Linked DNA regions of Xenopus tropicalis. The protein of the gene in region 6 interacts with the protein of the main gene of each other region in a pairwise test. Links are inferred from orthologs where the notes say so. Each region holds a gene or a part of one and is shown on either strand. Other genes may lie near its edges. The genes, in order: kcna4, ccdc148, hoxb9, casp7, tcf25, sat1 and taco1.

What was found.
Region 1: the proteins of sat1 (region 6) and kcna4 interact in binary tests that used the Homo sapiens proteins (3 or more experiments, as listed by UniProt). The link is inferred for Xenopus tropicalis from reciprocal best matches to the Homo sapiens genes SAT1 and KCNA4.
Region 2: the proteins of sat1 (region 6) and ccdc148 interact in binary tests that used the Homo sapiens proteins (3 or more experiments, as listed by UniProt). The two-hybrid records come from large-scale screens. The link is inferred for Xenopus tropicalis from reciprocal best matches to the Homo sapiens genes SAT1 and CCDC148.
Region 3: the proteins of sat1 (region 6) and hoxb9 interact in binary tests that used the Homo sapiens proteins (3 or more experiments, as listed by UniProt). The two-hybrid records come from large-scale screens. The link is inferred for Xenopus tropicalis from reciprocal best matches to the Homo sapiens genes SAT1 and HOXB9.
Region 4: the proteins of sat1 (region 6) and casp7 interact in binary tests that used the Homo sapiens proteins (3 or more experiments, as listed by UniProt). The two-hybrid records come from large-scale screens. The link is inferred for Xenopus tropicalis from reciprocal best matches to the Homo sapiens genes SAT1 and CASP7.
Region 5: the proteins of sat1 (region 6) and tcf25 interact in binary tests that used the Homo sapiens proteins (3 or more experiments, as listed by UniProt). The two-hybrid records come from large-scale screens. The link is inferred for Xenopus tropicalis from reciprocal best matches to the Homo sapiens genes SAT1 and TCF25.
Region 7: the proteins of sat1 (region 6) and taco1 interact in binary tests that used the Homo sapiens proteins (3 or more experiments, as listed by UniProt). The two-hybrid records come from large-scale screens. The link is inferred for Xenopus tropicalis from reciprocal best matches to the Homo sapiens genes SAT1 and TACO1.

What each region holds. Positions count from the first base shown.
Region 1 is NC_030680.2:19,914,022-19,917,894, forward strand, and holds part of kcna4 (potassium voltage-gated channel subfamily A member 4), read left to right. Parts: 5' UTR 1-610; coding exon 611-2,677; 3' UTR 2,678-3,873. UniProt on the Homo sapiens protein: Voltage-gated potassium channel that mediates transmembrane potassium transport in excitable membranes. Forms tetrameric potassium-selective channels through which potassium ions pass in accordance with their electrochemical gradient.
Region 2 is NC_030685.2:73,759,899-73,763,771, forward strand, and holds part of ccdc148 (coiled-coil domain-containing protein 148), read left to right. Parts: intron 1-1,031; coding exon 1,032-1,170; intron 1,171-1,338; coding exon 1,339-1,545; intron 1,546-3,873.
Region 3 is NC_030686.2:12,098,021-12,102,412, forward strand, and holds the start of hoxb9 (homeobox protein Hox-B9), read right to left. Parts: upstream 3,160-4,392; 5' UTR 3,050-3,159; coding exon 2,542-3,049; intron 1-2,541. UniProt on the Homo sapiens protein: Sequence-specific transcription factor which is part of a developmental regulatory system that provides cells with specific positional identities on the anterior-posterior axis.
Region 4 is NC_030683.2:3,709,059-3,712,931, reverse strand, and holds part of casp7 (caspase-7), read right to left. Parts: intron 234-3,873; coding exon 82-233; intron 1-81. UniProt on the Homo sapiens protein: Thiol protease involved in different programmed cell death processes, such as apoptosis, pyroptosis or granzyme-mediated programmed cell death, by proteolytically cleaving target proteins.
Region 5 is NC_030680.2:59,798,036-59,802,340, reverse strand, and holds the start of tcf25 (transcription factor 25), read left to right. Parts: upstream 1-1,293; 5' UTR 1,294-1,353; coding exon 1,354-1,548; intron 1,549-3,174; coding exon 3,175-3,309; intron 3,310-3,436; coding exon 3,437-3,511; intron 3,512-4,305. UniProt on the Homo sapiens protein: Component of the ribosome quality control complex (RQC), a ribosome-associated complex that mediates ubiquitination and extraction of incompletely synthesized nascent chains for proteasomal degradation.
Region 6 is NC_030678.2:43,098,050-43,102,382, forward strand, and holds the start of sat1 (diamine acetyltransferase 1), read left to right. Parts: upstream 1-1,314; 5' UTR 1,315-1,477; coding exon 1,478-1,543; intron 1,544-2,144; coding exon 2,145-2,196; intron 2,197-2,415; coding exon 2,416-2,499; intron 2,500-3,575; coding exon 3,576-3,677; intron 3,678-4,333. UniProt on the Homo sapiens protein: Enzyme which catalyzes the acetylation of polyamines. Substrate specificity: norspermidine = spermidine >> spermine > N(1)-acetylspermine. This highly regulated enzyme allows a fine attenuation of the intracellular concentration of polyamines.
Region 7 is NC_030686.2:17,081,908-17,086,483, reverse strand, and holds the start of taco1 (translational activator of cytochrome c oxidase 1), read right to left. Parts: upstream 2,938-4,576; 5' UTR 2,852-2,937; exon of another isoform or gene 2,783-2,851; intron 1,580-2,782; 5' UTR 1,560-1,579; coding exon 1,304-1,559; intron 1,086-1,303; coding exon 979-1,085; intron 724-978; coding exon 590-723; intron 289-589; coding exon 111-288; intron 1-110. Other genes in the region: map3k3 (mitogen-activated protein kinase kinase kinase 3), read left to right, coding at 3,160-3,163. UniProt on the Homo sapiens protein: Acts as a translational activator of mitochondrially-encoded cytochrome c oxidase 1.

The DNA.
Region 1 (3,873 bases), on a different chromosome or scaffold from region 6:
CTATCTGGCTGAACTCAGACATAACCTGCCTATCTACTCACTGGCTCCTATTTCCTACAGCACAATATTGCTTTAAGGCAGCTCAAACACATATTTTTAACCTTTATTTCTATGGTTTTTGGGCAGCAACCCCCCCTGCAAACTTGTTGTTGCTTCTAGAACAATTACCTGGAGAGCTATCTGGCTGAACTCTGACATAACCTGCCTATCTACTCACTGGCTCCTATTTCCTACAGCACAATATTGCTTTAAAGCAGCTCAACCACACATTTTTAACCTTTATTTCTATGGTTTATGGGCAGCGGCCCCCCCTACAAACTGGCACATTTACTCTCTGCCCGCACCCCCCTTCTCTGGCCAGTTGGTTCCGCCCGCACAGAGCTCCCTGCGCTGACTCCTTACTCGCAGAGGGGGGGGGAATTACCCCTGAGACCATGAGGGTGTTTGCATTCTTATTTTTTTATGACCTTGCATGAGTAATAATGAACTAAAAATCACTGAATTTATTTTGAATAAGTTTATTGCCTTGGGGGAGCCACCATGGCAGGGTGGTACAGAGCACTCAGCAGTCTCCCCGCCGCACAGTAAGCCGTGAGCAGCAACAGCAGAGATGGAGGTTGCCATGGTGAGTGCGGATAGCTCCGGCTGTAGCAGCCACTTGCCTTACGGCTATGCCCAAGCGCGGGCCCGCGAACGGGAACGCCTGGCGCACTCCCGAGCCGCAGCCGCCGCCGCCGCAGCTGGAGAAGGAGGGAACTCAGGGGGCGGCGCTTGTCAAGGGGCTGGGCGCGCCCCCGCCACTCAGGGGAACAGCGGGGCTGGCGGGAACGCGCGGCGCGCACCCCAGAGCCAAGAGCAGCAGGAGGAGAAGTCAGCGCAGAGAAAGAGAAGTGCCAGGCGGAGGTACTGGCCACTAAGCGGCTGCAACAGGTGGAGGAGCCGGCACAGCGAATGCAGCGGAGGCGCTGGAGGAGGAAGAGCAGGAGGAGAAGAGGAAGGCACCTTCCCCTCGGAGCTGGGGCCATGTGGCTCTGAGGAGATGATGCTCAAAGAAGAGGTGTCAGAGGAGGAGGACCAAAAGTTTTACTTATGTGAGGATGATGAGGATGAGGCTGGCAGCCTGCACAGGAGGAGAAGCCCCAAGGAGGATGGCTATCACCCTGTGTACAGTGAGTTTGAGTGCTGCGAGAGGGTGGTGATCAATGTGTCCGGGCTGCGCTTCGAGACCCAGTTAAAAACTTTGACCCAGTTCCCCGAGACGCTGCTCGGCGACCCGGAGAAAAGGATGCGCTACTTCGACCCGCTGAGGAACGAGTACTTTTTCGACCGAAACCGTCCCAGTTTCGACGCCATCCTGTACTACTACCAATCCGGGGGACGGCTGAAGCGGCCGGTCAACGTGCCCTTCGACATCTTTTCAGAGGAGGTCAAGTTTTACGAATTGGGCGAGGAGGCGTTGCTAAAATACCGCGAGGATGAAGGTTTCGTTAAAGAGGAAGAAAAGCAGCTGCCGGAAAATGAGTTCAAGAAACAAGTGTGGCTGCTGTTTGAGTACCCGGAGAGCTCGGGTCCAGCCCGGGGCATCGCCATCGTTTCCGTGCTGGTCATTCTTATCTCCATTGTTATCTTTTGTTTGGAGACGTTACCCGAGTTCAGGGACGATAAGGATAGTTTGCTGTCTCCGCTGGGGATGGGGGATGATGGTACAGGGGAGGATGGAGAGGGCGGGGCATACAATGCAACTTTTTTATTGACAGACCACACTGCGTTTAATGACCCATTTTTTATAGTGGAGACTGTGTGCATAGTCTGGTTCTCCTTCGAGTTTGCTGTGCGCCTTTTTGCCTGCCCAAGCAAGCCTGGATTTTTTAAAGACATAATGAACATAATAGACATTGTGTCCATTCTGCCTTACTTTATCACCCTGGGTACCGAGCTTGGGCAGCAGCATCCCCCTCAACAGCAGCACCTTGCTCTAGGCACAGGGCAACAACTTCCCCAGGGGACTGGGCAGCAACAACAGGCCATGTCCTTTGCCATTCTGAGGATCATTCGCCTGGTTAGGGTCTTCCGCATCTTCAAACTGTCCAGGCATTCCAAGGGGCTGCAGATACTTGGTCACACCTTGAGAGCCAGCATGAGGGAACTGGGATTACTCATCTTCTTTCTTTTCATTGGGGTCATTCTGTTCTCAAGTGCTGTTTACTTTGCAGAGGCCGATGAACCCACAACCCACTTTCACAGTATCCCTGATGCCTTCTGGTGGGCTGTTGTTACAATGACCACAGTGGGTTATGGGGATATGAAACCCATTACTGTGGGGGGTAAGATAGTAGGCTCCCTGTGTGCCATAGCAGGGGTATTGACTATTGCACTACCAGTGCCAGTGATAGTTTCAAACTTTAACTATTTCTACCACAGGGAAACTGACAATGAAGAACAAACACAGTTGACACAAAGCAGCTCCAGTTGCCCATACTTACCCACCAACCTGCTGAAAAAGTTGAGGAGCTCCACTTCTTCCTCTCTACAGGACAAGTCTGAATACTTAGAAATGGAGGAAGGGCTCAAAGAGTCTCTCTGTATAAAAGACAAGGCTAGTGAGGGGACAGGGAATGGCAACGAGACCATTAAGTATAACTGTGTGAATTTAAAAATTCTGGAAACTGATGTGTGAAATAGTGAAATATATTTTTGGAACTTTCTCAGAGTCTATTTATGCATTGAAGAGTGCAGTGATAAAACAAATGAAATATGCAAATCTAATCAGAAATGTGACAGCCAGTTTTCTGATTAGGTGTGAAATATAGTGGCTTCCTGTTGTAAGAACCTACAAACTTGGGACCAGATCAGATGCTACAAGAATAGCAGTGCCTGTTCTCTGGCTTCGTTTTTTTTTTTTTTCTAAAGAGAGTTGTCCATCCATAGATAATAATATTGCAGTGTGACAGTCTGCAGTAGAGAGGGGTACATGATGCTTATTTAATATAAAGCAGAAACCATGAAAAGAGAACAGCATGCATTTTGCCGTACACGACTGCTGTGTCTTCAGAAATACCTGGCACCCAGTAAAATGACATTGTTTACTCGTTTGCTTATTTTTTACAAAAATGTCTATTCTTCAAAGAATTCCACATCAAAAGAATTTTAGAAAACAGCGGTTTGCTGTAGATTCCTATCTTGATACCGCAACGCGATTTGTGCTTTTCCTAATAGCTAAGGAGCTAAATTCTTATGTGTGGAATACTCTGTAATCGGATATACATCATGTCTAACATATCAAGCATAGAAAGGGTAGACTAAAGAATTTTAAAATGATAGATTTTTATAGAAAGCAATGTTTCTGCACTGATATATCTAAACTCATTAGAGTGCTCCGATAACTAGTCTTTTTTAAGAAATAAGTTCTCAGTTTATTTTCTTTTTCTAAATTCCTCAGTATGAGATTAGCACAAATATAGGAGATATCGAGCGAGAAAAACAATCCTAAAAATGTTATTCTCGTTCCACTTAAGCTACACTTAATTATGCTGACTTTACTGTGCAGTTTTAAAAATGAACCAGCTGCCCCGTACCTCCATTGGATAAGAGTTTATCTAAATGTTTATCCCAAATTGCAATCAGTAAGGGCTGCCAACTATGCACAGTATCGCTGCTCGCAGAGCATTTATTAGGTGAGGCTCAAAGACAGGACTGAAACTTTTTTTTTCCCCGTTGCTGCTTGTCGTGCATTGATAGGGAATGTTTTTTTTTTTTTTTGCACAACAGCATATGCTGGATAAATGGGGAAATTCAACGAGGCATCGTACTGTGAACCATTTCTGTAATGTTGAAGTTTCTAGACAATCATTAAAGCAGGACATCTGGAGATTC
Region 2 (3,873 bases), on a different chromosome or scaffold from region 6:
GGCCTTCGCTAACTGTAAAAGGAAAGTGAGGGTGTTGAGCAACTACACCTCTCCTGCTATGCAGAAAAATGAAAACAGAGGGCGCCAGAGGTTCTTGCAAATAAAATAATAAGTGTTTATTGAACATCCACAGGGTTACTCACAATACAGCTCTCAGAGGCCAGTGGTACAGGCAACACATACAGAGTGTAATACAGACTAACACTCCTCTGCGGACAGACCTGGCAGGAATCTCACTTCACCTCTGCCACACACCCCGTAGTGGATCCCTCAGGGAATTCTCTATCCTGATTCCCTATTCACTGGGATCCCTACACTACAGGCAATGTAGCCTGGGAGAGATACCTCCAAAACTGCAAGTCTTATGTAGGAGCTCTGTGCCGACTTCACTGGGCCTGGGCCCATGCCCCGGGCTCAGAGCACACATCCACCCTGTTCCACAGGGGGAAGCAAACAGGAAGGTGCCACTCCTTTCCCAGCACTATACCAAAGTGAGGCAGGAAGTGGTCACCATCCCTGCTAGCCAATAGCACACATATGTTAATGAACTTAGATACATTCCCTTCCGCCCAGCAACTAAGGGAACTGAACATGTAGGGATTTAAAGCCATAGGGGCCATTTATGCCTATGGGTCCCTACAGTTTCTTCACCAAAATCCACCCCATATGCCTTGGCCGCCGCAATGGCTCCAGGTGCAGACACAGGAAAAAGGCTGGGCCATCGTAGGTGCTGATTCTACAAATATTCACTGAGGATCAGCCCTGTGTGGCATTAGCCTTAAATGTCTTTCTGTATATGTCCATCACCTTGTGTCCAGTCACCTTGCATTGTTCAACCATTCAATAATGTCCATGTCAATGTTATTAAAGCTAACTGTTGATTCCTATGGGTAACTGCACCTCTGACCTTTGTTATTGGGGCCTTAATGTTCTAGTTTAATTCAACTTTTTGTATTGTGTATATTGACTTATTTGGCATTTAACGAATGTAATTGCCAACATGTTTTTATCCACAATCTATAACATTTCAGCAACTGTAGTTGGAGTGATGAGGAGCATTGGATTTTGTACTTCATTATTAACCAGCATCCACAGGACCTTCCCAACAGAAGAGCTATATATATAGATATGCTGTCAAAGCATTTACCTCACAAAGCAAGACAGGAATTGGTGAGTATATTTTATATCCTAAGTAATATACAGTAAAATCCAGGCTTAAATGCACGATAATTTGTGTTTCAGCTCTGCTGTTGTTGATAGTCATTGATGATAGTGCATGCATGTCCCTTGCTCTATGGATACTTTCGACGTAGTTATGCTTCCTTGCACTTTCCCTAGGTCAACCATGAAAATCTCTATTATGCTCATCGTTTCGCTAAAGATCAAAGGGCGGCTTTGCTGGAAAGCTGGGCTCGATACAGGAAAGATTTTGTACTGAAAGCCATCATGACTATGGCTGAAGCCTGCTCTGCATATGAAACTGAAATCATTCTGGCAAATGATAGGAAAAAGCAACAGGAGATATGTACTGAACTCAATGAAAAGGTGGGTGATCTCCCCACGCATTCCCCCTCCCCAGTATTCTACCCGTCCCATAATCACGTGTCATTTAAATGTCCCATTCGTGAAACGCATATGAATTTATTTCTATCCGATTTCCATTCACACCAGTTGAAAGAGGCTTTAGTGAAGTCATACTATAGGTTTGGGATCGATTATCCGAAACCCGTTATCCACAAAGCTCTAAATTAGGGGTAGGCCATCTTCCATAGTGCAATTTTTTTTAAATTATTTTTCTCTGTGTTAATAAGAAAACAGTATCTTGAGTTTGATCCCATCTAATATATACTTAATCCTTATTGGAGGCGGAACAGTCTTACTGGGTTTAATTAATGTTTAATTGATTTTTAAGTAGACTTAAAGCATGGAGATCCAAATTATGTAAAAACCTGAAAAACTCCAGGTCCTGAGCATTCTGAATAGCAGGCCCCATACCTGCATTTTGAAGACATGTTTTGAACAATGATGATATGCTACAGACAAAAACCTACAGATGGAGCAAATGCTGTACACATGGCTCAACGTGACACAACATGGTATAGCATTCATTTTAATAGAAAGGGGCTGTTTGTGGTCTGTTTATAATATAGACTGACATAGTGGGATGTAGTGAGCTACCTGAGCCAAGAGTTATATAAAGTTAGCTCCATCTGTTTGTATGAGCCATAATTGGATCGCTTGAAGAATAAGGGACTCCCCCTAACATTTGTCATTTCAATTTTGCCATCGTTCTCTTCACACCCTCAGTATATAATCTTCTTCCATCTATTCTAAATAGCCAACCTCATTAATTGCCTCTATTTCTCAGTACTACAGTGTTACAGTAATACAGAAGGTACAAATGCTTGATTCAGGAAAGACACATCCTATATGTTTTTTCTTAACAATAAATAAAAACCCAGCCGTTTCCTAAAAATATCTTATTTTCAAAGAGAGAACAGAATGACTTTGCTGTGCGGCCTAATAACATGGTCTGGTTTTACACAGATTAGGGTATGTGTCTGGGCATGGCCAGTTGGATCAGGGGCTTAAATGTCCCATTTTTTTTATTTTTTATTTGAAAATGTTAGTAAATGCTTTAAAAGGAACATTATCCATAGACAGCAAAGCAATAGCTCAAGTAATGGCCTTTATTTATCAGTACAGTCACTTTCATTCTTTATAATGCATGTCTAAGCTAAGAGCAGGTACCTTTTTGAGGAATGGAACATCAGCCTGGGGTAACAGGTAAGCAAATAGAGTAACCTTACGACAGTGGTGGCCAGACCTTTCTCATTGGCGATCAATGGATGACCAGGTAATGTGGAAGTGTGGTGTGAATGCATATGTACGTGACGCAGCGTATGTACGCATTCACACAGCACTTCCACATCCCCGGCTTCATCGTGGTCCACCAGAAATCCACGCTGGATTGACTGGTGGACCGCAATCGATGTATTGGCCACCCCTGCCTTACGACTTGCAATTTGCAAATCATCTTCATTTTTTATTTTTTGTGGTTTTTCAGATTAAGCTATTTGTTCAGCAGCTCTCCAGTTTGGTATTTCAGAAACTATTCGGTTACTAGGGTCTTATTTACATCAGCAACCAGGAATTTGTTTGAACACGCCACTGGAATATGAATAGGTGAGGGATTGAATAGGAAGATAAACAATTAAAAATAGTAATAAATAATAGTAGCCTCACAGAGTGATTGTTCCTTTGGCTGCCGGGGTCAGTGACCCCTATTTGAAAGCTGGAAAGAGGCAGAAGAGGAAGGCAAATTATCCATAAAATATAGAAAAAATGAAGACCAATTGCAAAGTTGCTAGGAATAAGACGTTCTATAACATACTAAGTGTTAAATTAAAGGTGAACCACCCTTGGTTACACCTCCTTGCCACTCCCCTTAATATGGAGCCAACCATTCTCAGCTTCACGTTTGGGTTTGTTAACTCAGAAACAATCCAAATTTACAATTGTTTTTCTCATAAACCTTCTCTCATAAACCTTGCTTTTAATCAGGCATTATTTCCTTGCCTTTCTTTATCATCTGAAAATAGAAATGTTGCCACTATAGTCCCTTTCAGCAAGGATTTGCTGCTGTTTAATTGCCTCCAGAGGCACAGTTCAGTGATCGCTCCAATGTATGCGCAGATTTATTAACATCCCATTAAAACTTCTCATTATTTCTCATTATAAATGTGTAATTACAGAATGAAAAGAACCATGTAAGTGAAAAATCAAATATAATTGGAAAAAAGGCCTCAATTTATTATTACTAATTTTAATTCTTCATAAACTAGAATTTAGCCAATTTTCTCATAATTTTAT
Region 3 (4,392 bases), on a different chromosome or scaffold from region 6:
TATATATATATGTGAGTGTGTGTTTTTAATATAAAGTATATATCTTGTTGGTGGGATATGTGATATATATCCAGTGTTTGTGATAGGATATATATATATATATATATATCCAGTGTGTGTGTGGTATATAAAACATCCAGAGTGTGTGTGATAGAGAGATATTATATATCCACATTGTGGGTACTATATTAAATATATATTATATTTATATATTAAATATTTATATTATTTTATAAGCAGTGTATATCTTTCTCTGTGTGTGTAAGTAACAAGGACACACACACACACTAATTAGTAACAGAAATATATTGTGGCTGGTATTTCCATACGAAATGAAGAATTTGCAAAGCATAAAAGCCCCTGGATGTGCTTATGGCATGGCTCAGCTCCGCTAATAGGAATAAGCTTTATGTCCTGTGCATACAGCAGTCCCATTGCAGCTTAACAAAGGCAGAGTTTTTCAAGTAGGACAATAATTATTAGCCTTAATATCGCCTCCGTTCCTGAACCCCGATGGAAATGGTAGAGTAGGAATTACAAGCCACACACACGATTCCAGCCCCTGATCGCATACAAATTAATGTAATAAAATATACATGATATTCCTGGCTGACTGTCTGGCCCTGCCTGGCGGATTGTAAGGGTTCAGTCCCCCCTGTGTTAACTCTGGTGTCTCTTTTTCTGCTCAGTCTCTAAATCATTTGCATGGGAATGAAATATGAAAGTGAATTAAAAAGTTAATATTTAATAAAGCGAACACGACTACTGATCAGCATTGCTGCCTGTGTGTATGAGTGTGTGAGGGGTGGATTCCAGAAAATATCATTTATTTATCCCTATTAGTATTAATAATAATAATAAAATAATAATAATAAAAAAAAATTCTCACTACTGAAGTGATATTCCGCTCCATATTACTATTATCTGGAAATAAAACAGGCACTTTTTAAAGCTGGATTCTGATCAATCACCCTGAAATAATAGGCAGTATATCACATTGGGGGGTACACTGGCCTTTCCCTTTGACCCTCAGCACAACAATCTTTGCTAAAATCGCCTGCGATCTCCCCAATTCCTTTGGTTGGACCGTTGCGTAAACGTTTACGCGCAATTCTTCACAGCGTTTTGTCAGCCTGCACGGATATTAAATCCACAAGCTGCAAATCCCACTCTCTCCATCCAAGGCTTTTATTGTGGAGTTTGTTCTGGATCCGTGCCCAGTTTAGTGGAATATGGTTTTTAAAGTGCAGTTTAACTCCCATGCATAATACCCTCATTTATCAAGGTAAAATGCTTTTAAACCGATCATTACATCTGCAATTGCTTAATATTAAGTGGGAAATATAAAAAGGTACTAGGTGCCATAAACACATCCACCTCGTAAGAGTGGTGATTTTGCAAATGGGATCGGTTGCCTTTATGAATCATTTTCACCTGTGCCGACCAGATAAATGGCTGTACAATCGTCCAAACAGATCGCACGGCGGAATTGCACTAATACAAGAGGTGATCATTTTGCATTTACAAACTATTTTATGCTGCCTGCCAGATACTTTGCTGTAGGGCATATATATTATGAATTATGTACCTTTAATACGGTATATTAAATATTGGAAGCTCTTTTTTTCCCGTCTTCTTCCAGTGGTTAAATATATAAATCGCCGGCGATATTAATATAATATTTTCGTAAGGCTGTGAAATATAATGGCTGGGGCAGGCTTGTTGTAAATCCCCGATCTTATGGGTAATTTGGTAAGAAAATTTAGATTCTGGGAACGTTTCTGCTACAAATATTAACTGTGCCTGGATATTCCCCCCTCCTGTATATTTTACAGATTGTGGTTCCTTGTGCTGCTAAGTTATCCGTGTTATTATCGTCGGGGATTTGTAATATTTAGCCAAGGATTTTCCTAGCTGAATATTTCGTGTAGATATAAATATAAGTATTTCACCTCTGCCAATAACATGGGGCCTTATGGTTTAAAATATAAATCCTGTGGCTGATTTGTCGGTAATGTATAAACACTGGGGCTGATTTGAGTCTAGTAATATTGCAATAAAGTCGCACTGCTCTGGCTGAAATGTATATATATAATTGGGGGGAGTTTTATTCGATATAAGGAAAGTGTTAGTTTACCGTGTGGCCTGTTTAATTGGGGGGATATGGTGTAAATACAGGGGTTGCCTTGGGGGGTATATCTTGGGGCTAATTCCAAATATTATGGCTGATTTGGATCCAAGTTATTGTGGCTGAGGGTGGAAATATTGTGGCTGAACTTTGTTTGAGATATAAATATTGAGGAGGGATTTGATTACAAATATAAATGTTCCTGGCTACTGTGATGGATACTGTGGCTTGTTTAACTACCTGTGCGGCTGGGTGACTACAAGGTGGAAAGATTTCAGGCTATTGCCGGTGCCTGGGGGGCTCTCCCCTGTGTTTGCCCTGCTGGCCAGGAGCACATACACTTCCTGACGGTATATTGCCCTTTTATTGCCCCCTTAGGCTTTTGTCTCCCACTTCCTCGGTGCAGAACTTACTTTGATGTGTCCTGTCTTTGTCCCCGCTTCCTTCACACAGTTTATTGTCCGGGAAAGTGGCCCTTTCATTGGCATCTTCTCTTGCAGCAGGCGAGCCCAGATTGTACTGTTGGGCTCCCAGTTTGTCCAGCTCCCCCGGGGGCCCCAGCAGCGGCTCAGACTTCACAGTTCCTTGGCCAGGTCCATTCTCTGCTCTTTGCAGCGGCTCCAGCCAGCCCCGTAAGTACCTGCCCTCCGGAGTGGGGGCGCCCTGCTGGATGTAGGGGTGGTAGACAGAAGGCAGGGGGCTGGCTGGGTGGGGGTTCAGAGGGCTCCAGGACGCGCTGAATACAGGAGCTTTGGGCTGGAAACTACAGGAGGGAAAGTCCAAGGGCTCAGAGTGAGCTGAATGGGCTGCTGGCCGGGGGCTGGGGTACTGTCCAGAGAATTTGGCTGCTGGAGCCTCCTCACTCTCAGGGCTTATTATTGACTCCACAAAATAATTACTGAGAGTCCCAGAAATGGCCATTCTCGGGCATCCTACTCAGCAGCTTCATTGAAGGGAACAAGATATAGGAGCTCTCCCCTCTCCCAACTTGCTCGCCAACTCGGTGCACTTGGGCTGCTGGCGTGTGAGCTCCTGGCAAATGATTGGTCAAACTTTCTCCGTGTGCCTGATAAAGCGTCAGAGGGCTATTCATCAATCGGAGGGGCCGCACGGAGCTGTCAGCATTCATATCTGGGAGCCATTGTTTTATGGGCATGAGGGCTGGGACACGCCTGAGATCCGACCAACAACGCACTCCTCAGCCAACAATTTGAAACTTGGGTGACACCTATTTCTGTGCAGGCTCTGGTGCCTTTTAGTGAAGCCACAAGACAATCTGGCACAGGGGGGTCTGGGTGCAACAGCTTGGGAGGGCGCAGCAGTCTCTCATTCAGCTGTGCGCAATTGGCCGTGTGCGCAAATCAGTGCGCAATTTAGCAGAACGGTGCCTCTCGCTGCCATAGCATGGCGGCTGCGTACAGTCTGGCTTGTACAGTACGGATTATAAACAGTATATTTATAGTTAGTGGCCCCTTTCCCTACACTGACTATATGCAAAATAACAGACACCAATTAGGTGGATATTGGATGTGGATATTTTATGCCCCCTGTATCTGGAATTGTGTTTCTATTCATATGAATACACCGTATTTCCCAGGCAATGTCCCCATATAATGGCAGATATTGCAAAATGTATATGGTGCCAATCATTTCCTAGGAGGCACTGCTGATTGATACCTTACACTAATTTTATTTAACTGCCCTTCCCCTACCCAGTAACACTATTTACTCACATTGTGCCAAAGTGCTAGTGTCCCTATGACCCTGGTTTATTTCTCTGCACTAGTATGAAATGGTAACCACAAATTGTCACCAGTTACAGACCATTGTACAGTGCCCAGCCCTGCAGCATGTATATGTATGTTCTGCACTACTAGCACTATGTCTGCTTGTTTATTTTAACTTTATACAATTGCCTGTACCCTGTGCAGCACTGATTTAAAGTGGTGGCTGAGGCCTACAGACTGGCCCATAATATAATCAGATATATAAGTAGTAATTTGCCATATTTATATCCTACACTGCACTACTGACACTATGATCCCATTTGCTTTCTGTATAACTACTTATGCCCTGCCTCTCATCCAATAAATATATTTTTACAGTCACATATTATGCCAAATGCCTACAGCTTATATACTGCCAGGTGTTGCCATTCTGTACTGCGCTACTGACACTGTGACCCCACTATATCATTTCTCTCTGCCAAAGATACAAATATAAGATGGTGCCTACACACTGTCCCATATTGTGACCAAATATTT
Region 4 (3,873 bases), on a different chromosome or scaffold from region 6:
GTAATTGTGACAATTGTGTTGACTTTGGCCGGCGCCGGCGGAGCGGGCTCGCTTCCATGCCACGAGGGCACAATGAAGTACCTGTGATGTCGTCGAAGTTCTTGTTGTTGATTATGATGCATCGGCCAACTTTCCCATAATTCATCTTGTACTGGAAAGCCGGGGTAACAATCCGCACATTGTCACTCGCTTGGGGGGGCTTCTCTGGGTCCTCTGTCTTCTTCTTCTTCGTGCTGTGAGGGGAGAAGAGGGAAATAACATGAACCCCTTTGTTTTTTTCCATATGTAATAAAAGGCACTAAGTTTGCCCAGGAGCAGTAACCCATAGCAACCAATAAGATCATTCGCTTTTAACAGGTGACCAGTAAATACTTCCTGCTGATTGGTGTCTTCTATTACATAACCTCCTAGGGTGGGACTGGGGGGTACAGGGGCCCCAGCTGTGGTCTCCACACCCCCCCATAGGGACCCCCACGACCCACCTAACCCCCCCCCCAGCATGTCGAGGGAGTGAGACTGGCCTGGGGAAGCTCCCAGCAGGTATCGGGTCTGGGTTTTTACCCAGCACCAAATATAATACAGAGACCTTTAGGGTTTGGTACCATCAGGGTCGGACTGGGGGGTGAAGGGCCCACCGGGGCTCCCGTCCCAGGGGCCCTGCAGGTGCCCCAGCCAAGCGCGTCCCCTAACCCCCCCTCGAAGGGGCCCCACTGACCCCCCTCGCAGGGCCCCCCACTCTCGTCCTCCCCCGAGCGCGTAAATTTGACGCGTCAAGGGAGGAGCGGTCGGGAAGGGGAACGCCGGCCTAGTCCGACCCTGGCTACCATGTCCCCTCTTGTGTCCAGGCCAGACCCATGGCAATACAATAACTCTCCCAAAGGCCCCTGGGTAATAATAGCAGAGGCTTCTGGCCTATCACTAACATTCATGTTTGTTTCCTATTGGTATGTCAAGGACCAGTAATGCCCTCAAATTATTATTATCTTCATGTTTACATGGGTCCTCCACCCAGCAGTACATTCCCCGCCATTCTGGTTCTGACTCCTGAAACAATGTAGCAGAAGCCAGCCAATTTTAGCAGTCCAGGAACAGATTGTTACTTAGAATGATATTTCCTATAAACAACAGACGCTCTATGTTAAATGAGAAGTTTTAATCCTATAGTTCCGGGGACTCTGCCCTCACCTACCTCTGCTGCCTAATCTTTTGCCCTATTGCCCTATTTCAGCTTTCATAACTGCCCCCGTGGTCACACAGCAGCTTCTTTACTATAAATAAATCATAGTGACGCTTCTGAAGCAAGAACCCCTCTTGTGCCAGTGTGGGGTAATTGTACTTGTTTAAAGAGGTGTTACTTGTCCTTTAAATATAAAGCAGGGGAGGAGTCACCACCCATATTCTTGGCTGCGTAATGTTTACAAAAGGGTTAATTTCTTTAAATTATCTTAATTGGAACCATTCAGATACGAGTTTATTGTGAGGTTGTACTGCCCCTCTCTCTGTAGATATATCTATATATATACTGTATACACATGCGCTGTTTCTTTAAATAAACATCAACCCTAGTGACCTCGGCTCAGAGAATATTTGGGTCGGTTTCTTTGTATTTTCTGCAAATTCTGAATAAGTGATGGACAGATTAAATCTCCCCTGGGGGAAAACAAATGTTTCACGTTCCTCCGCCCAAGCAAAGGGCAGTTCTATAAATAGCCACACATTGGGGTGGAAGGGGCAAAACAACTGGTTACAACTATTATTAGCTCCAGGGCTAAAAATAGAGACAAAAACACACAAAGAGGGAAATTTCCTGAGATTTGCACAAATTTGTACATTGTCCTAAACCGGACCCAGTAAATTCCTATCCTGTACCTGTATAAATGAATTATATTTATATAGAGGAAAAGAAGTCCCAGTTATTCCTATCCTGTACCTGTATAAATGAATTATATTTATATATAGGAAAAGAAGTCCCGGTTATTCCTATCCTGTACCTGTATAAATGAATTATATTTCTATAGAAGAAAAGAAGTCCCGGTTATTCTATAGAGGAAAAGAAGTCCCGGTTATTCCTATCCTGTACCTGTATAAATGAATTATATTTATATAGAGGAAAAGAAGTCCCGGTTATTCCTATCCTGTACCTGTATAAATGAATTATATTTATATAGAAGAAAGAAGTCCCGGTTATTCCTATCCTGTACCTGTATAAATGAATTATATTTCTATAGAAGAAAAGAAGTTCCGGTTATTCCTATCCTGTACCTGTATAAATGAATTATATTTATATAGAAAAAAGAAGTCCAGTTATTCCTATCCTGTACCTGTATAAATGAATTATATTTATATAAGAAAAGAAGTCCCGGTTATTCCTATCCTGTACCTGTATAAATGAATTATATTATATATAGGAAAAGAAGTCCCGGTTATTCCTATCCTGTACCTGTATAAATGAATTATATTTATATAAAGAAAAGAAGTCCCAGTTATTCCTATCCTGTACCTGTATAAATGAATATATATAAGGAAAAGAAGTCCCGGTTATTCCTATCCTGTACCTGTATAAATGAATTATATTTATATAGAAGAAAAGAAGTTCCGGTTATTCCTATCCTGTACCTGTATAAATGGATTATATTTATATAGAAGAAAAGAAGTCCCGGTTATTCCTATCCTGTACCTGTATAAATGAATTATATTGATATAGAAGAAAAGAAGTCCCGGTTATCCTATCCTGTACCTGTATAAATGAATTATATTGATATAGAGAAAAGAAGTCCCAGTTATTCCTATCCTGTACCTGTATAAATGAATTATATTGATATAGAAGAAAAGAAGTTCCGTTATTCCTATCCTGTAACCTGTATAAATGAATTATATTGATATAGAGAAAAGAAGTTCGCAGTTATTCCTATCCTGTACCTGTATAAATGAATTATATTGATATAGAAGAAAAGAAGTCCCGGTTATTCCTATCCTGTACCTGTATAAATGAATTATATTGATATAGAAGAAAAGAAGTTCCAGTTATTCCTATCCTGTACCTGTATAAATGAATTATATTGATATAGAAGAAAAGAAGTCCCAGTTATTCCTATCCTGTACCTGTATAAATGAATTATATTTCTATAGAAGAAAAGAAGTTCCGGTTATTCCTATCCTGTACCTGTATAAATGAATTATATTTATATAGAAGAAAAGAAGTCCCAGTTATTCCTATCCTGTACCTGTATAAATGAATTATATTCTATAGAAGAAAAGAAGTCCCGGTTATTCCTATCCTGTACCTGTATAAATGAATTATATTTATATAGAAGAAAAGAAGTCCCGGTTATTCCTATCCTGTACCTGTATAAATGAATTATATTTATATAGAAGAAAAGAAGTCCCGGTTATTCCTATCCTGTACCTGTATAAATGAATTATATTTATATAGAAGAAAAGAAGTCCTCGGTTATTCCTATCCTGTACCTGTATAAATGAATTATATTTATATAGAAAGAAAAGAAGTCCGGTTATTCCTATCCTGTACCTGTATAAATGAATTATATTTATATAGAAGAAAAGAAGTCCCGGTTATTCCTATCCTGTACCTGTATAAATGAATTATATTTATATAGAAGAAAAGAAGTCCCGGTTATTCCTATCCTGTACCTGTATAAATGAATTATATTTATATAGAAGAAAAGAAGTCCCGGTTATTCCTATCCTGTACCTGTATAAATGAATTATATTGATATAGAAGAAAAGAAGTCCCGGTTATTCCTATCCTGTACCTGTATAAATGAATTATATTTCTATAGAAGAAAAGAAGTTCCGGTTATTCCTATCCTGTACCTGTATAAATGAATTATATTTATATAGAGGAAAAGAAGT
Region 5 (4,305 bases), on a different chromosome or scaffold from region 6:
TGTAAAATGTATCCAAAACAATCCTAAATTAACTTCTCACAGTGGTGGGGAGGTGATTATAGAATTTTGGTTTTAATGATGTAGCTATAGGATTTTAGTACATGCCAATCATTCCAAATAGTTTGTTAATAATCTGTCAGGTGACTCCTGGCAGTTGCATATGTTTAAGGTTGCCTTGGGAGGTTTGAACACGAAAATGCCTGTTCCGCTTCGTGGTTTGCCTTGGAGTATTTCAGCACTGTACCAAGTGGTGTATTGAAAACCAAGTATTGTTAAGTATTTGATTGGTTGAGGGGAGGTAATGTTAGTGAGCCATGTGTCAAAGATTTTTGGGGTATGTTTTTATTTACTGTACAAGGTTTCTATCCAGTCTAGATGGAAAATGTAGTTTTTGTCATACTAAAGTGCCAGTATCCATCATTTAACAATAAAATTAGGTTTGGGAGGGATTGAATTATTCTAAAGAGCATATAGAAATGGTCCATATGAAAGTTATGATAATATGCACTGTAAGAATAATAATAATAATGCACCTGATGCAATTGAATGAGCTCCTGCTCCTGTTAATTTCAGATGACATTTTGAACATACTTGTCCCCATATTATCAATTGAACATGTTTCTTAAATTTCATGTAAGACTACATACCTCTATGTATCTGAATGAGTGCACACATTTAGAATTAGTACTGGCTGAAACCATTACAAAAACACTTGCATATTTTGGGGCCGATTCATAAAAACACGAGTTCGAATGGGAAAAATTTGGATTGGACACGATAATTTCTGATAGATTGCAAATATTACAAAAATTTTTACGAAAAAATCGTATTAGTCACGATAATATCGTATTGACGATCCGAAAGTCACTAAATTTTCATACCGAACGATTGTAAACAGCGACAGAACCTTTCCAAATTCACGCAAGCATATGAAAAAAGTCGTGCAAGCGTGAAAAAATCGTCAAAAATACGCTCGAACGCTCCGAGCATTTATGTCTTAATAAATCTCCCCCCATGTGTCATACATCCCAGGGATACCCCTTGTCTAGCATGTATAATCTTCTGTCAGAACGTTTCATCTCCCCGCAGCCCCTTAATGCAGATAGCCTGAGCCTGGCCTCACAGGGCATGCTGGGAGACAAAGATCAGCAGTTACTAAAGGAGCCAAACAGCATGAGCTAGCTGCTGAATAACGCCGTCTTTTATTTGGATTTACTGAATGAGATGTTACAGTAGCGCCCCCAGGCTGTCATGTATAGGCATTACACGCTACGAGCCGCTAATGACCCTGAGCGCATGCGCCTGGCTGCAAATCCTTCCTGGGCTTCTGCCCTGTGAGTTTGTTTAGGTGCCATGTCCCGTCGGGCCTTGAGGAGGCTGAGAGGAGAGCAGAGAGGACAGGAGGAGCCCGGGGCCCTTGGAGGAGACGAAAATGAAAAAGACGATGAGGAAGAAGAAGCACCAAAGCTCCCGGAACCGCGAAGCCGTAAAGCACGTGGAAACCGGAAACTCTTGGAGGAGCGGGGCCTAAATAACCCCTTCCAGCTGGTGAGTGGGGGAAGGCAAATCCAGGGACACCGGGACCTATATGTGAGATTAGTACAGAGCCAGAACCGGCCATAAGGGAACATGAATTAGACCAAGCAGTGATAGGTGCAGTACTGTTGGTTAGGAACAACTAGTAATCAGCTGGCTACATCCTCTCAGTAGTGAGAACCACCAGTGACACCTACCCTACAGGTGCAGTAACTGCAGCCCTCTGGTGTATTGCTTGTCAACCGCAGCTCTGACTTATAGCTTCTGGCTCGGTTTCCCTGGCCTGTTTGGGCCAAGTGAGTTTTATATAAGCCCAGCTGGGGGGGGGGGAGTTCTGCATACACTCTCTGGTACAATTACATTATAATTCAGTGGAGAGATAGGCTAATGTTCTCCCTACAGTAAAGTGCTCTATGAACCATAGATCTTAGATAAGTGTTTATTATCTTGGCATAACATTAGGAAACAAAGGGAAAGTTTACCTGCAAATGAAATTTATGTATGGTATAGAGTGGTATATAGCATTTCAGCCCAGTATTTCTGTCCTTATTAGCATTAATGTTCAGATGGTTCGGTTTTAGTTTTTAGGCCATCTCTTATTTGTCTACCATTCTGACTTCCAAACTGTTGTCTGGTTACTAGTGTAAATAAGTCCTAGAAACTAGATAACAGCTGAAATGCCAAGGCTCAGAGCTGCTGAACAGAAATAAATATTTTAAAAGCCATACCAACTGAAGACTAATTGCAAATTGCCCTAGAATAATACTATATAATACTTATATTTAATATGAAGTGAAGAATGCATCCTGCACCTGCTCAGTCCTGTGTATAATGGCCTGTTTGCAAACACTAGCTGATGGCTGCTTAGCCTGAGCTGGGATATTCATGAAAATTGTCAACATTCAAGAGCAGCACTGAGGAAGAATCTAGGGACCATTCAACAGAGGAATATCCAACCTATGTACATTTAGGCAAGAAATACCCTGCCTCTGATTCAAAGGGACCATATCCCCACCCCACAGAGGCTGTTAGGACCCCCCCTTACCATGTTTTAAGTGAAAGTGATGCTTTCTGCGAATCTAAATTCCTTTATCTTTTCTCAAGAGGACTTCACACCACCCACTCTGCGTACTAAAAGTTACCATCCTGCCTTTTCCTTTCCGTGCAATCAGCTGTGTTTGGATAAAAATACTTCTGAAAGTAAGGCTAATGTCCCATGGGGAGATTAGTAGCCCACGGTAGCAGAGATTTATAAAGGGCGATAAAATCTTTACACTGGCAACAAAGAAAATCGCTGGTGGAAAGACCTACACATTGCTTAGTTCTTCAGAAGTTACCTGCAGCTGGAAACTTCGCGCCACGATGTGTAGGCCTTTCCACTGGAGATTCTCTTGGTTGCCAGTGGAAAGGCATTTTGGGAAGATTAGTCACCCATGGTAGCAGAGATTTATCACTCTGTGTGGCATTAGCCTAAGGGACAGTTGGGTCTGATAAGAATGAGGACCTTCAGGGTCTGTTGGAGACTCAGGCCATTGGTACCAACTGATCTGTCAGCTTGTGTTATTTGGAGCATTATAAAGTTTAGCAATCTAGTCCTTGAACCACTTGTCATATCTGCTTTTTGGTTTATGTCTGTAGATAATTGACCATGATTGTGATGCTCGGAGTGATTCAAACATCAAGCATGTCACAAATCCTAGGCTTAATGAGGAGAAAGAGACAAATACTTGTAAGACGGACCAAGATGCCACTGAAGATCCTGCTTTGAACCAGGTGAGGAAATAATAGTAGAGGAGTTACTTAGAATATGGGAGTATTTATCAGCCAACCGGCTGCTTTTATTAGGAATTTGTTTTTTTTTTCTGTAGCATATTTACCTGCCATTTCTGTACCTGAATAGGCTGCTCCAAGCAACAAACCAAAGAAGAAGAAAAAAAAGAAGAAATCAAAGAAATGCACTATTTCAGAGAACCAGGTAACATATCATCAGCTCATGCCCATGATGTTATGTTTTCCATAACAGAAGAGCACATTTGGCAAAGCAGTGATAAGAGGGATAGCATACTTGCTTTTAATTAGAGACCATCCACTTTGTTGTTTGTGTCCTAATGGAAGAGCAAACAAAAAAGGGAAATGTAAATGAGGCGGAATTTGACTAGTAAAGCTGGCCATACACGCGTGTATGGCAAGTCGGCGAGGCAACCGATATCGCAGGAGGCTGCTGATATCGGTCGACTCGCCAATCGGGTGGTTTAAAAGATTTTGATCGGGCGCCATAGAAGACGTCTGAGCAAAATCTGCCTTCTGCTGAATCGGCAGAAGGAGGTAGAAATCCTATTGTTTCTGCCTCCATATCTGCCGTTTCAGCCCTGAACGTCAGTGGCCGATTGGAACGATGTCGCACGAAAGATCGAAAATTGCCACGTGTGTGGCCACCTAAAGTTCTTAGACTACCCAACTTTCTGCGCTGTATAGTAAATGTACAGACAGATACTGACAAATGCAGGAGAAAAAGAGGGCTCTGCCAGTTAGAGCAATGCAGATAATTAAAAAAGCATAATGGTTTGGTGAATACTTGGAGATACATTAGGGTGGGGACATTTCAAGCATAGTAGATTAAGTTTTAGTAGCATTTAGTAGCAGAGATTTAGTAGCAGAGACTGGTGTTAGGACCTGCAAGGGGCAGAAATGGTTGGTGAGATCAATGAGTTTGGTAGCCATATTCATGGTCATTTTTAGAAATATTCCTTAAATAAATGTGACAATTTA
Region 6 (4,333 bases):
ATTGGGGGCAAAACAATCCTATTGGGTTTAATTAATGTTTTATTGATTTTAAGTAGACTTAAGGTATGGAGATCCAAATTAAGAAAAGACCCGTTATCCAGAATACCCTTGGTCAAGAGCAGGGCCGCCATCAGGGGGGTACAGGGGGTACAGCCGTCCCGGGCCCGGACGATTTTAACTTTAAAAGGGGGCCCGGCGCTGCTACAGTTTTCTTAGCTGGGGCCCCCTTTAATCTATTCCGGGCCCCTGTCATTGGTGGTCAGTACGCACGGGGAGCAACCTTATAAAAGGGCCTGGCGTCGTTCGGCACTCAGAAGTGCAGTGCTGTTGGGAACGAAGGACCTCGCCGGAGGAGCCGTCGCCGGAGCCGTCGCCGGAGGATTGTGCTGTGCTGGCTACCAATGTACTAGGGGGGTTTGCTGGCTACCAATGTACTAGGGGGGTTTGCTGGCTACCAATGTACTAGCGGGGTTTGCTGGCTACCAATGTATTAGGGGGGGGCCCTGCTGGCTACCAATGTACTAGGGGGGTTTGCTGGCTACCAATGTACTGGGGGGCACTGCTGGCTACCAATGTATTAGGGGGGCCCTGCTGGCTACCAATGTATTAGGGGGGTCCCTGCTGGCTACCAATGTATTAGGGGGGCCCTGCTGGCTACCAATGTACTAGGGGGGCCCTGCTGGCTACCAATGTACTAGGGGGACCCTGCTGGCTACCAATGTACTAGGGGGGGGCCTGCTGGCTACCAATGTACTAGGGGGGGCCCTGCTGGCTACCAATGTACTAGGGGGGCCCTGCTGGCTACCAATGTACTATGGGGGGCACTGCTGGCTACCAATATACTAGGGGGGCCCTGCTGGCTACCAATGTACTGGGGGGCCCTGCTGGCTACCAATGTACTAGGGGGGGGGGGCCTGCTGGCTACCAATGTCTCATATCTGTGAGTCCTTTGTATTTGTGGGAGGGGGGCCCAGAAATTTTTTTTGTGAGGGGCCCCGTGATTTCTGATGGCGGCCCTGGTCAAGAGTATTCTGGACAACGGGTCCTATACCTGTACTAATCTTTCCAAAAAGTACACCGAACATTGTGTTGTTGTAGTTTAACATAATGGCCACTAAGTGGCAGCTCCACTCTAAAAACCCTGCTAAACTTCTAGTGAGTCATTTCTGGGAATCATCACCTCATACGTAATGGGCCGTGGCCATTCAGCCCCGCTTATACAAGTGTAATTGTTTGGCGGAAGTGCGGAGAGGGCGGAGCTCCCTCCCATAATAAATACCCTGCTCTCGGTTCCGCGCTTGCACTTCGTCGTCGAAGTTTTCTTATCACGGTGGCTGCAGTGAGTGAGCTCTGCCGGGTCAGGGTCCCAGACTGACTAAGGAGAGGAAACTCCTGGGAAGCGAATGAAGAAACACCTCCTACTACTCTTCACATACAGAGGACTTGTCAGAAAAGGCAAAAAGAGCAAGAGAAGAAAATGGCCAAATTTATCATACGATCTGCTAATGCCGGGGACTGTAAAGATATCTTGCGACTCATAAAGGTGCATTGCTGTAACGTAGCTGCGATTTTACTTTGAGGTTTCGCTATTTTTCTCACCTGTAATGGAAGGTACTAAGTTCGACCAGGTGGTGTAACCCATAGTAACCAATCAGTTTGCTTTTAAACAGGTGAATCGTAAATGCATTGTGCTGATTGGCTGCTGTAGGTGACAAGATCTGTAGCAAACTGCCCTTTCACTCATTTTGAGTCAAGAGCTTTTGACCCTGGGTGTAGGGAACTACAAGAATTCCCTGAAAGCCTTTAGCATTCACTGTTGTACTTACATTTGTACAGTTCTCCTTTAAAGTTTCAAACTAGGACCTTTATATGTAACGGTCACTTGTGTGGCTTTCTGGCACTGCTGGGTTAGTTTGTCCCAACTTAACCTGTAACTTGGCTTGGGGGTTGTGGTTACCCACAAGGGAGGTAGGAGATGAGGGAATGGGATTTCAGTATGATGTTGGGAATATTCTGTTCTGCTTTTTAGTACCCCTTTGAGTGCTAATCTGCTACTGTAGGCAGTTGTAGAACTGTATTGCTGTACTGCTCCTGTTACACAATGTCCCCTTTTTACTCAATGATGTAATCTTCCTGTCTTATAGGAACTGGCAAAATATGAAGATATGGAGAACCAAGTAGTACTAACTGAGAAAGGTAAGTGGAATCGTAGAGGGTGTGTATCTCTGCCAAACTTGTCTCGGAAGCACAATTTCTTTTATCTAAACAATTGATATTTAGTTTGTGTTGCTCTGTGTCCTGGGCTGCCTGCCAAGCTGCTCCCATGAGCATTTGCTGCTAAGCACACATACATTGGGGAGTGCATTTTTTTGTCTCCTACTCACTCCTACACCATTTGATTTTTCTTCTGTACAGATCTGCTTGAAGATGGATTTGGAGAACATCCATTTTACCACTGTCTTGTTGCTGAAGTGCCTAAGGAGACCCAGAGTGCTGATGGTAATTTTTACTTTCCCTCTTGCCCCATTTCCCAGAATCTGAGGCATTTGTTTTGACCCTAATGTGCGCAGATGCAAACTTTGTTAAATCCTATTTTCTCTTTAATTTGTCCCAATCTTCAGGTTACAGTCTCTAGCTTCGCCATGTACATGGATGGCCCTTCCGTGTACATGGGTGGGCGGGGAGGTAACTAAAAGATCCGTTACACAATAAAGTAGATGATCATGAAACGAGGTAAGGCAAACGGGCAATCGCTGACACGTTAAAGCAGCAAACACGGTAGATCAGAAATCCATGCTCTGCTACTGAGTCTTCACGGAAGATTCTCCATTGTTCAATGGATTTTATTTTACCCCACTTTTTTTTTTTTTTTTTTTTCCCCCCACACCCCTCCCTGGAAACCTAAATCAAGCAATACGGACTTAAATTCTCCAACAGTGTCTTTCCAGTTAAGTTCTTGGCTGATTATGACCATTTCTAATACTAAACCTGATGTTTTTGGTAACTCCTGCCCTCCTTGTGCGATTGAACTGTTGTGATTTCTAGTACAGATTTATTTTTGTATTTTAGTATTGAGGAATCGGTGATCAGCATGATGGGTTGCCTGTATTGATTCCTTGTTTTCCATGTGCTACAAATTGGGGAAAACCATAGTGCTTGATCTGTTGCATCTCTGGTTCCCATTTGTACATCTGGGGGGGGGGGCTTTCATAATCTTCTGAACTGCCGTGTAAAAGGAATGTATTATGTTAATACAAGTGCTCCGCTATGCTGGTTAAAAGTAGAACATGCTATTTGCTCAAATGCAATGACAATGCTTTAGCAGCACTCAGACTGGAAAAATAACTTGCTTTCAAGGTTGTGATGTGAAGCAGTCAAGTACAACAACCTGTGGACGGCTAACAGTTGTACTCTAACTCTCCTCACCATTCTGGGAGTTCTAGTCAAACAACTGTGAAATATTCCTGACTTGTGGTTGTAATTACTTTTGTTTTTGTGTTTTTGTTTTTTTTCTCCTTGTACACGATTTTTTTTTTTTAATTTCAGGACTCATTTGATCTCTTCTTTGTTTATAGGATACACCATTGTTGGGTTTGCAATGTACTACTTCACCTATGACCCGTGGATTGGAAAATTGCTTTATCTTGAAGACTTCTTTGTGATGGATGAGTTCAGAGGTAGGTCATATGTATTAGGCCTCAGTGTGTGGATGGATTTTTAAAAATACATGTATGCACAAGGCCCTGGACGAACAGGTATGAGCTAAAAGTTCACATTTTTTTTTTTTTATACGTTAAATTCAAATGTTGTAAGTAGAGTATAAAATACATAAATGTAACATAATATCACTACAAATGTTGTAATGTTTGATATGAAAATAAAAACAAAGCTTAAAAAAAAAAATACATGTGAGTAGTGTTTCCATAATTTTAAATTGAAGGTCTAGCATATTGTGTGCGTACAAAGGCTCTTGTATATCGGCAGTTAACAAGTGGCTGTGCTGTGCCACCATCTTACCTGTGGTTCCCAGAGATCCCTCAATAGACATGGACTTGCACAGTATACTAACATTTTCCTAATTGTGCTTGGGGGTGCCTGGGAACTACATGTAAGATGTTGGCACTGCTTAAGAAACTTAGATTTAATTGATTTGTGGGAGATGTGCCTAATACTGAAACCCCTGGCGAATTCAGCTGTTCTGTAAAGTACAATGATGGAATCTATTATTTGGAATGCATAGGGCCTTGTGTGTGGTTGGTTGTGGTTTTTTTTTTTTTAACTAGAATTTCACATTAAAGTTTGTGCCCATTTGGAAACAAACCTTTTAGAAAGC
Region 7 (4,576 bases), on a different chromosome or scaffold from region 6:
TAGGTTGTTACATAAGTAGCCATGCTGAAGAGTCCTACTTTACACAAGATATACATGACTTAACTGTATGAGAGTGCCACCCCAAGCTAACATACTTCCAGTAGTCATACCTTATATATATCCTTATCCTCCTCATCCTGTTCTTCCTGCACATCTTCTGCTCCAGCCTCAATTGCTAGCTCGAGGGCCTTCTCTAATGGGACATCACCTCCATCTTTGTCATGAGTCCGTACAGTCACCACCCCTTTCTTTTCAAAACTATGCCGGGCTCCATCACACATCACCCCACTGTGGATTAGAAAACAAAAGGTACATTCAGAAATTATGCACAGATTATACATGATTTATATCAGTGTCTGCTCCAGTGGACCTTACACTCTAAGGACCCTATCACATTCAGGCATGGTATGTTAAATTCTCTAGGAAGCTAATTAACCTTTCTGTATGATTTTGTTGAAGAAACCCATGCAAACAAGGGGTTAACATACAAACTCTTTGCACATAGTGACTTGGCTGGAATGAAACACAAGACCCCAGTGTGCATGATGTAAAGCAAAACACACTGAGCAGCACAAGTAATGACACATACCCATTTTTGCCCATCAGGAGCTTGACCTCTGCATAGGAGCGGTTGTTGTTGTCAGTTAAAAGCTCTATGAGCAGAGAAGCTCCCCCAGGTCCCCGTCCCTCGTACAATACACAGGCAGAGGGTTTTGCTTTATCCTACAGTGAAAACAAAAATAAATGTTATCGACAACGTTTTGGTCCTTATTTAGGACCTCTCTCAAGATAGATATATATATATATATTTTTTTTTTTTGTATAAATTTATAAATGGTTTTACGGTTTTGCTATTTAGCGGTATCATCTCTATGCTCCAAACTGGGTTTATCAGCTTGTTCTACTTGCTGGCCTTTTGATGAGAATGGAAATTTCCAGAATAACCCACAAAGCATAATGTTCCTATAGCTGACCTACCGCTCCTTTGATAGCTGCCTCTATGGAAGTCTTTGGCATGTTCCGCTCCCGACACTGCTCAATCAGTTGGGATAGGGCCATGTTCAGGTCTGGGTTAGGTCCTCCTTCTGTTATTGAAGACCAAGACAGTTATCTATTTCTAGGCCCAGCAGTAACCATAAAGCCATTGGATGCATGCAGTAAACACAAGGAAAAAAAACTGCCCATTCCACCAACCAGATATGTTTCCAGCCTTCTACCTGTACCAGACCACTCTAGCAACATGTTATTTGTTGATAGAGGTTACTGGACTGGGATGCCCTATTGCACATGTTACTTATCTCACCTCTCACTGCTACTTTGATCATCATGGAGAGTTTGGCAAACACCCGGGCCCTTGCTTCATCCTTGGGACCCTTAATATGTTTTACTTTAGACCACTTGTTGTGACCAGCAGACATCATTAAGGAGGTGTGGAAGTAGGTCTCCTGAGAGGCAACAACAGGAAGGAACCATCGACCCAAAGGTTCTTGGCAAAAGAGCAATGACCTGAAAGCATGTTTTCTATGGGCAGAGCAGATCCTACTTAAGACCAAAGACATAATCCTAGCAGGAGACAATTCTGTGGGACAGAGAGAATACATATATACATAAATAAGCTTGTACTGGAGTACTGACGGTGCTTCATCTATAACATTATATATTTGATTGTACGTGTTATTGTATAGCTTGTATATGAAACACCCCAACACCTTATAAAAGTCCCCTGCAGAAGTATTACTCTTCCTTTTTAAACAGACCCCTGCAGCAGGTTTACCCCCACTCAGTAACTCAGTGCCAAGAATACAAGCTCCCTGCAGAAGAATAACTATGCCCCAATACCCCTACAATCAGCCCCCTGCAGCAAGATTACTCTTCCCCTATAAACAGACCCCTGCAGCAGGCTTACCCCCACTCAGTAACTCAGTACCAAGAATACAAGCTCCCTTCAGAAGAATAACTATGCCCCAATACCCCTACAATCAGCCTTCTGCAGCAAGATTACTCTCCCCCTATAAACAGACCCCTGCAGCAGGCTTACCCCCACTCAGTAACTCAGTGCCAAGAATACAAGCTCCCTGCAGAAGAATAACTATGCCCCAATACCTCTACAATCAGCCCCCTGCAGCAAGATTACTCTTCCCCTATAAACAGACCCCTGCAGCAGGCTTACCCCCACTCAGTAACCCAGTACCAAGAATACAAGCTCCCTGCAGAAGAATAACTATGCCCCAATACCCCTACAATCAGCCCCCTGCAGCAAGATTACTCTTCCCCTATAAACAGACCCCTGCAGCAGGCTTACCCCCACTCAGTACCAAGAATACAAGCTCCCTTCAGAAGAATAACTATGCCCCAATAGCCCTACAATCAGCCCCCTGCAGCAAGATTATTCTTCCCCTATAAACAGACCCCTGCAGCAGGCTTACCCCCACTCAGTAACTCAGTACCAAGAATACAAGCTCCCTTCAGAAGAATAACTATGCCCCAATAGCCCTACAATCAGCCCCCTGCAGCAAGATTACTCTTCCCCTATAAACAGACCCCTGCAGCAGGCTTACCCCCACTCAGTAACTCAGTACCAAGAATACAAGCTCCCTTCAGAAGAATAACTATGCCCCAATACCCCTACAATCAGCCCCCTGCTGTTGTCCCCTGCTGCAAGAGTTGTCAACTAGTAATGGCTAGAGCCTAGGCAGCCCAGAGGCCACACAACTCTAGCCCATGACTCTCATGTCTCCCACTGGTAAGCCCAGCACCACAGACAGGTACTCGCAACCATTACATTGAGTCTCTCTGGGCCGCTAATACCTGCTGCTCTACAGACTCTCTCACTTCCTGCACAATGACCTACTCTTCCTCTCCGCTAGCTAGGCGGTCACATGGTGCAGTGATGTCACCGGTGACGTGTGTAGGTCCTGCAGCGGGCTAGGAACTGGCCCAGAGTAAGGCCTGAGCCCCCGGAGCCCTGGCCAAGCCGGATATGAGGTGACCGGAGTCGCTGACGGGCCGCGGGGCAGACCCGGGGAGAGAATAACCCAGAGGAGGCGGTGGGTTCAGTAGCAGAGGAGGCGCTACATACAACTTTACCTAAGAATCGGGGGAGGCCTCAGGGCCCGGGAAACTGACAGGGCTGCCCGGAATAGTGCCCCCTGCTCCGCCATGGGTAAGTACTGGGGCCTAGTCACTGGCTATGGCCGTAACGCAAGCTCTTGTACGGGCACTCTCCCCCGCTTGTCTGCTCGGCCACTGACATTCCTCTGGGGGGTCACTTGCACTCTCTGGCACTCTATCACTGTCTCTCTGTCTCATTATCACTGTCTCTCTGGCACTCTATCACTGTCTCTCTGTCTCTCTATCTCTGTCTCTCTATCACTGTCTCTCTGGCACTCTATCACTGTCTCTCTATCACTGTCTCTCTATCACTGTCTCTCTATCACTGTCTCTCTATCACTGTCTCTCTGGCACTCTGTCTCTCTGGCACTCTGTCTCTCTGGCACTCTGTCTCTCTGTCACTGTCACTCTGTCACTGTCACTCTATCACTGTCTCTCTGGCACTCTATCACTGTCTCTCTGGCACTCTATCACTGTCTCTCTGTCTCTCTATCACTGTCTCTCTGTCTCTCTATCACTGTCTCTCTGTCTCTCTATCACTGTCTCTCTGGCACTCTATCACTGTCTCTCTATCACTGTCTCTCTATCACTGTCTCTCTATCACTGTCTCTCTATCACTGTCTCTCTATCACTGTCTCTCTGGCACTCTGTCTCTCTGGCACTCTGTCTCTCTGTCACTGTCTCTCTGTCACTGTCTCTCTGTCACTGTCTCTCTGTCACTGTCACTCTGTCACTGTCACTCTATCACTGTCTCTCTGGCACTCTGTCTCTCTGTCACTGTCACTCTGTCACTGTCTCTCTGTCACTGTCTCTCTGTCACTGTCACTCTATCACTGTCTCTCTGTCACTGTCACTCTGTCACTGTCTCTCTGTCTCTCTGTCACTGTCACTCTGTCACTCAGTTTCTATCTCTCACTCACTGTGTCTCTCTCTTGTCACTTACATACACTGTCCGTCATATTCTGTGTCCTGCTGTCATTCACTGCCTCTCTCTCACTCACTCCCTGTGTCTCTCTCTTGTCACTTTTCTGTCTCTTGCTGTCACTCACTGGCTTTCTGTGTTTCTCTGTAACTTGCATACACTCTTCTGTCACTGTCTCTTATTGCCACTCACTGTAACTTATTTAGCACACACTGTCACTCCCTGTCTCTCTCATCACTTATATGCTCTCTTCTGTCACAGTCTCCTGCTGTCTCTGTCCCTGTCTCACATGCATTGTCATTTACTCACTGTCTTTCTAACTCACATGCACTCACTCACTGTGTCTCTCTTTTGTCACTTTAATACAATGTTCTGTGCCTCCTGCTGTCACTAACTGTCTCTCTAACTCGCATGCACTCCTTCGCTGTGTCTCTCTCTTGTCATTTAAATACAATTTTCTGTTATTAGCTCCTGCTGTCACTCACTGTGTCTTTCTGTAACTTACTCACTGTATGTCTCTTGTCTCTGGCATATCTTTCACTG